Linked DNA regions of Ovis aries. The protein of the gene in region 3 interacts with the protein of the main gene of each other region in a biochemical or structural test. Links are inferred from orthologs where the notes say so. Each region holds a gene or a part of one and is shown on either strand. Other genes may lie near its edges.

The links. The genes of interacting proteins can lie anywhere in the genome.
Region 1: the proteins of GRIP1 (region 3) and CARM1 form a complex in vitro, tested with the Homo sapiens proteins (2 studies listed by BioGRID). The link is inferred for Ovis aries from reciprocal best matches to the Homo sapiens genes GRIP1 and CARM1.
Region 2: the proteins of GRIP1 (region 3) and THRA form a complex in vitro, tested with the Homo sapiens proteins (2 studies listed by BioGRID). The link is inferred for Ovis aries from reciprocal best matches to the Homo sapiens genes GRIP1 and THRA.

What each region holds. Positions count from the first base shown.
Region 1 is NC_056058.1:13,195,157-13,197,963, forward strand, and holds part of CARM1 (histone-arginine methyltransferase CARM1), read left to right. Parts: intron 1-1,416; coding exon 1,417-1,502; intron 1,503-1,703; coding exon 1,704-1,793; intron 1,794-2,210; coding exon 2,211-2,348; intron 2,349-2,430; coding exon 2,431-2,520; intron 2,521-2,601; coding exon 2,602-2,714; intron 2,715-2,807. UniProt on the Homo sapiens protein: Methylates (mono- and asymmetric dimethylation) the guanidino nitrogens of arginyl residues in several proteins involved in DNA packaging, transcription regulation, pre-mRNA splicing, and mRNA stability.
Region 2 is NC_056064.1:40,135,518-40,139,239, reverse strand, and holds the end of THRA (thyroid hormone receptor alpha), read right to left. Parts: coding exon 3,665-3,722; intron 2,715-3,664; coding exon 2,568-2,714; intron 1,985-2,567; coding exon 1,726-1,984; intron 1,101-1,725; coding exon 850-1,100; 3' UTR 160-849; downstream 1-159.
Region 3 is NC_056056.1:153,636,151-153,639,679, forward strand, and holds the end of GRIP1 (glutamate receptor-interacting protein 1), read left to right. Parts: intron 1-1,580; coding exon 1,581-1,808; 3' UTR 1,809-3,023; downstream 3,024-3,529. UniProt on the Homo sapiens protein: May play a role as a localized scaffold for the assembly of a multiprotein signaling complex and as mediator of the trafficking of its binding partners at specific subcellular location in neurons.

The DNA.
Region 1 (2,807 bases), on a different chromosome or scaffold from region 3:
CGGTCAGATTCTGCTTCTTTTGTTGCTGTTATTGGCTTCTGCTTCTGCATTCAATCTGTTATGGTATCATAGGTGAGTGAATGACTGACAAGGACAGAAAACACCTTAGTGTTATCATGAACATAGTTTTGACCTTGAGGGAGCTCTGGAAAGGGACCGTGTTTTGAGAACTGCTGCTTCAGGGTAGTCTTCATGGTCTTAGTGAGTCTGGTGGTTCACAGGGCCCCTGTCCTAGCCTCCCAGTTCCAATATGGTGCTGAACCATATTTCAATTAAAAATTAAAAATCATATTAAAAAAAAGATAGCTTCATTAAAAAAAATCTTATTTCTATTTTAATGGGGCAGTAAATGCATTTGTTCAGTCAGCCATCTTTAGTATTTTTTTTAAAGAAGTCTGCTTATTTAATGTAATTATTTGGCTGAGTTGCATGGCCTGAGGGATCTTGGTTCCCTGACCAGGGATTGAACCTGTGAGCCCTGCAGTGGAAATGTGGAGTCTAAACCACTGGACCGGCGGAGAAGTCCCTTTGCTTTAGCTTTTTAATCTCATAGAAGCATCTTTCTGCTTGGTTCCCTACCTCCATCCCACATGTAGCTCAAAAACTGGCAAATGCCAAGAACTAAAATCACATGTGCAGTGTCCACCTCGAATCTCCACATTTCCTTTTTATTTAGCAGCTTGGCCCCTTGAGTCCTAGCTGCCTCAGTAATCCCGAGTTCCCACCTGGCTTTCCCCACACAGGGAGGCCTCTGAAGGGCCCCACCCCAAGGGGAAAGGCACGTGTCGAAAAGCACCTCTCCTCTAAGGTCTTGGCCCCAAAGCCATGGCTGCTGTGGTTGCTCTCCAGTGATTTCAGACTACTGTTGTTGTTGGTTTTCTTTTTTATTCAGTTCATATAGTTCTTGGCAGTCTGACATGAGATCTCTGTCATAGCTGTGAGTGGTGTCAGCATAGTTCTCTCACTTGATTTTTGTGAAGTTGCATAACAGTTTATCTTGGAGATCTTTCCCCATCTATTCCAAAGAGCCTTTTTGTCCTTTTTCACACGCATGATCTTTCACTGTTGGGCCATCACTAGTGTAACTTCCAGGGTGTTTCTGCTCTTGGCAGTCTGTAATTATGGGTAGAAGTTTTGTACACGTGCACATAGGTTTGTAGGTTACAATCCCTGAAGTGGAACTGCCGAGTCTTTCATGCAGATGAATAGTTGTCATTTTGAGAGCTGTCACCTAATCGCCCTCCATTGTGTTAGACCAGTTCCTCCTCCCCCAAGCATGGCTGAGAAGGGCAAACTGCAAACTGGTTTGAGCCAAATGGCCTAGAGGCTGCAGCCAGACTCTGGAAGAGGGGCGGGCTTCCCCTTCTCCTCACAGCCCCTGTGCCTGAAGCCAGGTCACTCTCTGCTCTCTCCCAGGACACATTTGACATCCGGATCCTGATGGCCAAGTCCGTCAAGTACACGGTGAACTTCTTAGAAGCCAAAGAAGGAGATTTGCACAGGTACCAGCAGCCCTCCACCCCTGGCACCCCGACCTCCTGGGCTTAACTTCTGGAGATCAGGGCCACTGCCAGCTCCCTTGGACAGAACCTTGCCTCCCAGGCTGGGCGGGCCGGGGCCCCACACCCAACACCCCCACATCCCCCTCCTCTCCCAGAAGCCCTGGTTCAGCTTCCCCAGCAATCACTGCCTTTGCCTTACAGGATAGAAATCCCATTCAAGTTCCACATGCTGCATTCCGGGCTGGTTCACGGTCTGGCTTTCTGGTTTGATGTCGCTTTCATCGGCTCTATGTGAGTGCAACCAAGCAGAGCAGGTGGCCCCCCCACTCCAGCCCCAGGTGGTAACTCCAGGTCTGGCTGGCTCAGATGATGCACTGGGGGCTGGGAGGGCCTGACTCAACTCCGCTGGGTGCTACTGCTCCTTGCAGAAGGCAGTGGGAGCTGGCCTTCGAGCAATAGACTATTGGGGGTAGGGTCGTCTACCCTGTTCAAAGTGACTATTCCTCGCGGGACCTGATTGTGTCTCTTGGCGTGTATATCCGGGCGAGTGGGCGTAGGTAGAACTTCCTGGACAGCCAGCCTGTCTCCGCTCCAGGGGACCCCTGGGTGGTGGGGGCCGGGGGTGGGGGGTAGGTGCCTGAGGAGAGCTCAAAAGGCACAAGGTGGGGGTCTAGCCCAGTCAAGGGCATGCCTGTCCCTGCTTGGCAGAATGACCGTGTGGCTGTCCACGGCCCCGACGGAGCCCCTGACCCACTGGTACCAAGTCCGGTGCCTGTTCCAGTCGCCACTGTTCGCCAAGGCTGGGGACACGCTCTCAGGGACATGTCTGCTTATTGCCAACAAAAGGTGCGAGCAGCCCCAGGGGCGGGGGCAGCAGGGGCTCGCTCCCTCCAGGCAGCCAGCTCACGGCCACCCTCCTGCCCCACAGACAGAGCTACGACATCAGTATTGTGGCCCAGGTGGACCAGACAGGCTCCAAGTCCAGCAACCTCCTGGACCTGAAAAACCCATTCTTCAGGTAGGACGGGCCCTGGGCCTGCGGGGGGCGCCCTCCTCACCCGCTGCCCCTCGCCCTGCCCACGGGCCGTCTCTGCCGCAGATACACAGGCACGACACCCTCCCCGCCGCCTGGCTCCCACTACACTTCCCCCTCGGAGAACATGTGGAATGCCGGCAGCACCTACAACCTCAGCAGTGGGATGGCTGTGGCCGGTGAGCAGCCCACTTGTGCGTGGGGTGGGGGTGGGGGCAGGGTCCTTCCCTGGTGCCCCCGCCAGTGCTGGCCCGTCGAGCCCTCCTGCCCTG
Region 2 (3,722 bases), on a different chromosome or scaffold from region 3:
AGGGAGGGGCAAGGCAAGGGGGCGTGGCCAGGACCCTGCTGTATTAGCTCACAGCTCTGATGGCAGCCCTACCCTTGGGGACCTGATGTGGGGGGGGGCAGTTCTCTCTGATTTGGGGGGAGGAGGGGCAGCTCTCAAAGTGCTCGGGGGTGGGAGGGGGGGTCCTCCCCTCTGGCCAGCCTCAGTTAATAACTTAATATCATCTCTCTATCAGTCGCTCGCTCTTTTTTCCTCTGTCTAGTATTTCTTCATTTATCTTCTCCCCTTGCCTGGTTTCCAAAGTGCAGTTAGAATGACTGTAATTTTTAACCTCCAGGGGAGGAGCCAAGCCAAGCCTTTCTTTGCACCAGGCATCTGGGGAAGCAGAGAGGCCCTCAGCCTGGAGGGGGGACCTAGGCCAAGAGACTGGGCAAGGGGGCTCTCTCGTGTGTGTGTGTGTGTGTGTGTGTGTGTGTGTGTGTGTGTGTGTGTGTAGGGGGTGAGTGAGGGCCTTTGCCCCCACCCCACATTCCTCTATCCCCTACGGTCAAGATGGCTTGTCCGCTCTTAGTTCTCCCTCCCTTCTCCTACCTTCTCAGAGGACAGGGTCCTGGGAACTGCAGGACACGGTCCCCCCGCCCGCCTCCCACACTGTCCTTTTCATAGCAAGTTCATTTGTTTGCCCTGTCCCAGGGCTGGAGGTTCTGAGGAGGGACAGGGCAGTGTGGGGGTGTGTGTGGGGAGCTGAATCTATCCAAGGATGAGAGGGAGGAGAGAAGAGGTGTGGGGGTCTCCCTCAGCCCCCAGCTCTGCCCCTTCTCTCCAGGCTCCTCCCCACCAGCTCCGCACACCCTCTGGCCGCCTGAGGCTTTAGACTTCCTGATCCTCAAAGACCTCGAGGAAGAGTGGGGGGAAGAGTTCGGTGGGGCACTCGACTTTCATGTGGAGGAAGCGGCTGGCGTGGCAGGCCCCGATCATGCGGAGGTCAGTCACCTTCATCAGCAGCTTGGGCCAGAAGTGCGGAATGTTGTGTTTGCGGTGGTTGACGTAGTGCTCGAACGCCAGCAGGTACGCCTCCTGACTCTTCTCAATCTTGTCCACACACAGCAGGCCCGAGCGGTCTGCAGGGAAGGAGGGGCACGAGGCTAAGAGGGTGCAGGGGGGCAGAGGCCGAGAGGCTGGGGGAGAATGGAGAAAAACATGCATTCTGCGGGGGCAGGGAGCAAGTCGGGGGCAAGCACAGGGCAAAGCCGGTGGAGGGGCTGGTAAAGCAGACAGAGGAGTCAGAGGTGGGCCTGGGAAGGGAGGAGACTAGGAGATGAGGCAGGCCTAGGGGGTGGAGAGGTGGGGTGGGCAGAGGAGTAGGAGGAGGTTGGGGGCAGGGACAGGGGTACTGAGAACAGAGGAGGGAGGGGAAGAGAAGGTGGATGGGAACAGAGTCAAGGGTGGGGAACAAAGGGGACTATGAGAGACAGAGAGCAGATGTGGGGCAGAGGTGAAAAATGAAGCCAGGATAGAAGAGGGCGTGGGAAGCTAGAGATGGGCCTGGAGAGAACAGAGGGGGGATGGGTGACAGAGTAGGGGACAGTGGACAGAGGATGGGCCTGAGGACAGGGATAAGCTTGGGGGACAGAGAGGTGGGCTTGGGGAGCAGAGAGACTGAGGGGTTAAAGAAGGACAAGCCTGGGGCCCAGCCAAGGTCTTGGGCCCTGGAAGCTCCGGAGCCCACCCAGCCAGGCTAGGTACCTGTTGACATTAGCAGCACAGCCTGCAGCAGAGCCACTTCCGTGTCATCCAGGTTAAAGGCAGAGAGTGACTTGCCCAGTTCAAAGATGGCGTCAGAGACGACACCCAGGCCACCATTCTTGAGCTGCTCCCGCTTGACGGCCATCTCCCCGCTCAGCGTCAGGGTGTCGCTCTCGGGGTCATAGCGGACAGCTGCCCGCAGGGACATGATCTCCATGCAGCACCCCTTCAGGAGGATGATCTGGTCTTCGCAAGGCAGCTGCAGAGTCACAGGAACACTCAGCATGACCCTCCCCATGAGTGTCCCCTGAAGGCGCCCCTGGGAACTGCGAGGCCACCACCAACCGGGAACACATACTCTGGACAGCTACCCTTGCACTGGGTGGCAGACCTACCTTGCTTCACTAACCCTCACAACTAGGTCTCTGAGTTAGGTCCTGTCATTACCTCCATGCCCACTGCAGATGAGCAAAGGGAGGTTTAGGGAGTTAGGCCATGTAGCCAAGCTCTCAAGCCAGTAGGGCAGCCTGTCCACAGAGTTAGAGCTCTTTAAAATAAGAATCTCCAGAGTCAGGATGGTCACGTAGACTTGCGGGGAGATGGGCAGGGGGAGGCTGGGGGTGCAGGGCTGGGCCCATGGAGCCTGTTAGTTCTTAGGAATCAGCTCACCCTGTGCATGCGTGTGTGCGTGCATGGGTGTGTGTTGGGTGTGTTGACCCATAGGAATTGCTCCCTGTCCAGAGAGCTTCAGAGAAGGATGAGCTGGGACTGGGGGACCCGGGGAGCAGCCCAAGGCTTCCCTCCAGTGTGACACCAGGTCTCTCCTCCCATCCATCACTCACCTCGGAGAACATGGGCAGTTTTTTGGCAAAGTCCACCACGCGGGTGATGGCCGGGGTGATGATCTTGGTAAACTCGCTGAAGGCCTCAAGGTCCACCTTGTCTCCGTCTGGCATGGAGACGATAGGTGACTGGCCGATGTCGTCCGGCTAGAGGGAGAGATGGGGGTCAGTTGGGGCTGCAGACCCCTTTCAACCACTCACTGAGGCTCCCTGCCCACCAGGGGGAGCTCCAAGGCAGCTTGGGGAAACGGGGGCCACCGCACCTAGGGACTCTGTGTCCCAGGCCTAGGGCTTCTCCCACCTCGCCACAGAGAACAAACTAGCACCAGAGCTCCAAGATGGCTAATAAGAACAAGGATCGTAACACCAGTAGCGGCAATGCCATAACAACAGAAGCTACATTTGACTAATATGTAGCTAGGAATTAGGCCATGTGTTTTACACATATTATCTCATTTAATCCTCACCATGACTTATCACCACTAGTTGATGTTATACTTATCACCATTTCACAGATGAGGAAACAGATAGAGTGCAGCTAAGTAATAAGCCCAGGTCGAGAGCCTAGTAAGCGGTGGAAACAGGATCTGAACCATTACACACACATGTGCTCGCTTTCAGAGCTGGTGCTCCTTCCAGTGTACTGTTTCACCCGCTGACACACTCCAGCCATCAGGAGTTCTCTGCCTTCCCCCGCCATACACAACCAACTGTCCATCTCCTCCCACGCTGACCATTTCCTTGGCATTCAGCTTTGCCAAGGCCCAAAACAACATGTGGCACCCAGGAGGCTCCTCAAGATACTGTCCCATGACTGTGTCCTTGCCCCTGCCTCCCAGTCACTGTGGAAAAAGGGGGAGAGATCCTCCCCACTTCACTGGAAATTTGATGAGGCAAGGCCCTGCCCTCATCAAATCAGATGGAAAAGGCAGTAACACATACACAGGTGTACAAATCAGAACTGCCAAGCTGTGCAGACTAGCAGCTTTGGGGTGGACTAATCTAAGAAGGCTTCCTGGAGGAGGCGAGACTCTGAATTCGCTCCCCTTGCCTGGCCACCAGGCTGCCACTCTCACTCATGCCCCTTCTCTCCTTACCAGGAATTTCCGCCTCTGCTTCCAATGGCTGCCCTGGGCGTTCGTGCTGCGATGGGCC
Region 3 (3,529 bases):
GCCAAGCTTTTAAGACTTTATTCTGGAGGTATATTAATTTCTTAAGCAGAATGACACATTTCATAATTCAGAAAGACAATACAATTATGTCACAGGTGGACTGCTGTAGGGTGAAGAAAGGGAGGATCACAGGAAAGGAGACCAGGGGGTAAGGGTAAGACGTTTGTACCAGACCTGAGCCTTTAATGCCTTCTGTGCATCCTGGTGGAGCAGTCTGTAAGGCAGCTTACAGTCTACATTTGTTGCTTAAGAGAGATGTTAGAGCCAAAACTAAAGATTAGGAATACTGAACACATGGATTTGGTTAAAGTTGCCTAGGGTGGATTTCTAGTAAGAGAACTAAAGACAGAACTCTAAGGAAAACAAAATTTAAAGGATAGGATGAAGTAAAGGTGGGAAAGGGCTGAAAGTGAGCAGTTAAAATGGTACGAAGGTCAGAGCAATGTGGTGTCATCAGAGCCAAGGAAGGAGTTTTCAGGATGAGTAGGTGTCAAGAGTGGCTAAAGGGGATGAGCACTCAAAACACCATTCCTATGTTGAACAACTGGGATCATTTATACAATATAAGGCTTCCCTGGTTGCTCAGCGGTAAAGAATCTGCCTGCCAATGCAAGAGACACAGGTTCAATCCCTGGGTCGGGAAGATCCCCTGGAGAAGGAAATGGCAAGCCACCCCAGTATTCTTACCTGGGAAATCTCATAGACAGAGGAGCCTGGCAGGCTACAGTCCATGGGGTCACAAGAGAGTCGGACATGACTTAGCAACTAAACAACAACAATACGATATAATGGTCAGGTCCCAAACTGAGAAGATGGGAGAGAGAATGAAAAGTCAAGGCCTGGGAGGAAGCAGCATGGAGAGATGGTTTTTAAACTTGCAGTGGGGGTGGGAAGAATAAGGAAACGTGAAAGATGAGCACACGTACAAGCTCCAAAGGGGCTAGGATCATGAGAACTGCTGAGAGAGGTGGTTCAGTATCATCAAGAGCACGAGTTGTGGGGGACTTCCCCAGCAGCCCACTGGTTAAGACTCTGCCTTGCAATGCAGGGAGCATGGGTTCAGTGCCCGGTCTGGGAGCTAAGCTCCCACATGCTGCAGGGTGCGGCCAAAAATGTTTAAACAGAAAGAAAACAAAAAACAAAGCACAGCACAAACTTCGGAATCAGCCAGACTGCCTGAGGTCACATCTTTGCTGGACCACTCACCAACATCCTCTCTGGACCACTTACCAACTGCTGGTCTTAGGCACTTCTCCTAACCATTATGTGCCTCACTTTCCTCGTCTGTAAATTGGGGATGACAGCACTTTGGAGCACCTGCCATGAGTAAGGCTATTTGCTCAGCTGGGGGATGTTACATGTGTCCCTGCTCCCTGCCATCCAGGGCCTTACAGTTTAGTAGCAGAAAATACGTAAGCTTATGCCCCTCTTATAGTGTGCTCAGGGCTGGGATAGACTCTCTGTACAGAGTGCTCATTTAAGCACTTTCGAGACTCTTCTCAACCTGTTTTATCTGAAATGTTACTCTGGGTTTTGGGAATTATAACAATAATTCACCATGGTGCTTCTTGCCATTTCAGGTTAACCATGTCCGAACAAGAGACTTTGACTGCTGCCTTGTTGTACCCCTCATAGCGGAATCTGGTAATAAGCTGGACCTGGTGATTAGTAGAAACCCCCTGGCTTCACAGAAGTCCTTAGAACACACTCTACCAGGAGGAGAATGGAGCGAGCAGAACAGTGCTTTTTTCCAGCAGCCGAGCCACGGTGGTAATTTGGAGATACGAGAACCCACTAATACACTATAGCAACGCTTTTTATAAAGCGGGACAAAAGACGATATCTACATGGTGCTAAAAAAAAAAAAAAAATCCCATTAAGATTTCTGTGACATCTGAAGCACAGATAATCACGTGGCATTAACTGCAAGCACAGGGGTCTTTTAAATCTCTCATGGCTCATGTTCACTTCCCTTTTCAAGTTGAAGAGGTTTCTTTGTTGGTGATCATTATGGTATATGCCAGGCAATCCCCTGCCAAACCCAATGGTAGAGAAAAAGAAAAACAGGCCACCCCTCTCTACAGTTAACATCAGAGGACATTTGTTCACAAGTCCATCTTCCTGTTCCTTTTTAAAAAGAGAAATGTCTGTTTGAAAATATTCTCTAATTTCCTTAATTCACTTTGAAATCAGTTTCTTACTACAAAGTTATTCATGTAAGAATTTAACTGACAAGGCTTTTCATAAAGCTGGCTCTGCTAGAACTAGTCTGGTGAGCTGCTGGGACTGCTGCTATGGGAGGGGTACAGGTATAAAATTATCTTACGACGTTTCAGCAACGGTGCACGTAGGAGACCATAATAGGTGGTGGTACATGTTTTGCCCAAGTATAGGAATGATTTTAACTAAGATGTATGCTATTCCCTATGCAACAAATCATCAAACAGGATATGTCTTGTGACCTGTTTTTTGGGTTGTTTTTTTTTTTTAAGGACACATTTTTTAATAGCTGAAAACTCTCTGGTAATGAATTAGGGTGTTTAGTAACACTGAGAATTAGTTAAATTATCTTATTTTTAAAATTCAAGACTAAGAATTTAAGAGAGAATGAAGAGTCTATTAAAATGAGGTTTATCTTAAGGATAGGCAAATGAAACTCATACTGCTTGACATGTTTTGAAAACTGGTTATACTGAGGGGTGTACAGCACATGTACGTAAATGACTCTGGACTGTCTTTTGTTCTGAGCCATGCCACTGATTGAAATTGTAAATACATTTTCACAAAATGCATTGCCAATTATTACCATCCCCCAAAGCAATAAACTGTGACAGTTGCTTTTAATGTCTGTCAGCAACTGTTTTCATTTGTTCAGATATTTTGAATAGTTACACTAATAACTGTTATTTGGTGAATATTAAAAAAAAATAGATCTGTATATTGATTGTAGAATCTCCATACTGAAAAATTATTTTCCAAACATTTTTATTTTGGTCAATAATTAAAACAACTGCTTAAGTAAAGCATCTGAACACTGTGTCCTTTGTTTAAGGAAAAAGTTCACCTTTTGTTTCTGTGCAAAGAAATATATTATTTCAATCATATTTCAGAACCGCCAGGGCAAGAAAGTATAAAGCAGAATCATGTTAAGAAAAAGATCATGAGTCACTTAAATATGTATTTTTATTTGTAACAAACAAGTATTAAACTGTAAAGTATTTTTGTACAAATTTAATACTTTAATAGCATGGTATTTATCGTCTATGTATGGTTTTGGGGAATTCAAAACTGTTGCAAATATTTGTATGGGAATAAAAAAAACCCTCTACCAAATGGAATAAACAGTGATTTTAAAAAGCCAAAAAAAAAAAAAAAATGACCTTCTTTTTTGGTGCTTTGGATATATTTTAGTGTTCTATACTGAGTCCTACTCAACACTAATGATTGCATAATTTTCTAAAGGAGGAAGGTTTTGCCATAAACTTGAAAAGCATCATGGAAGAGAAGAACTATGGTTTTGATATTTGAT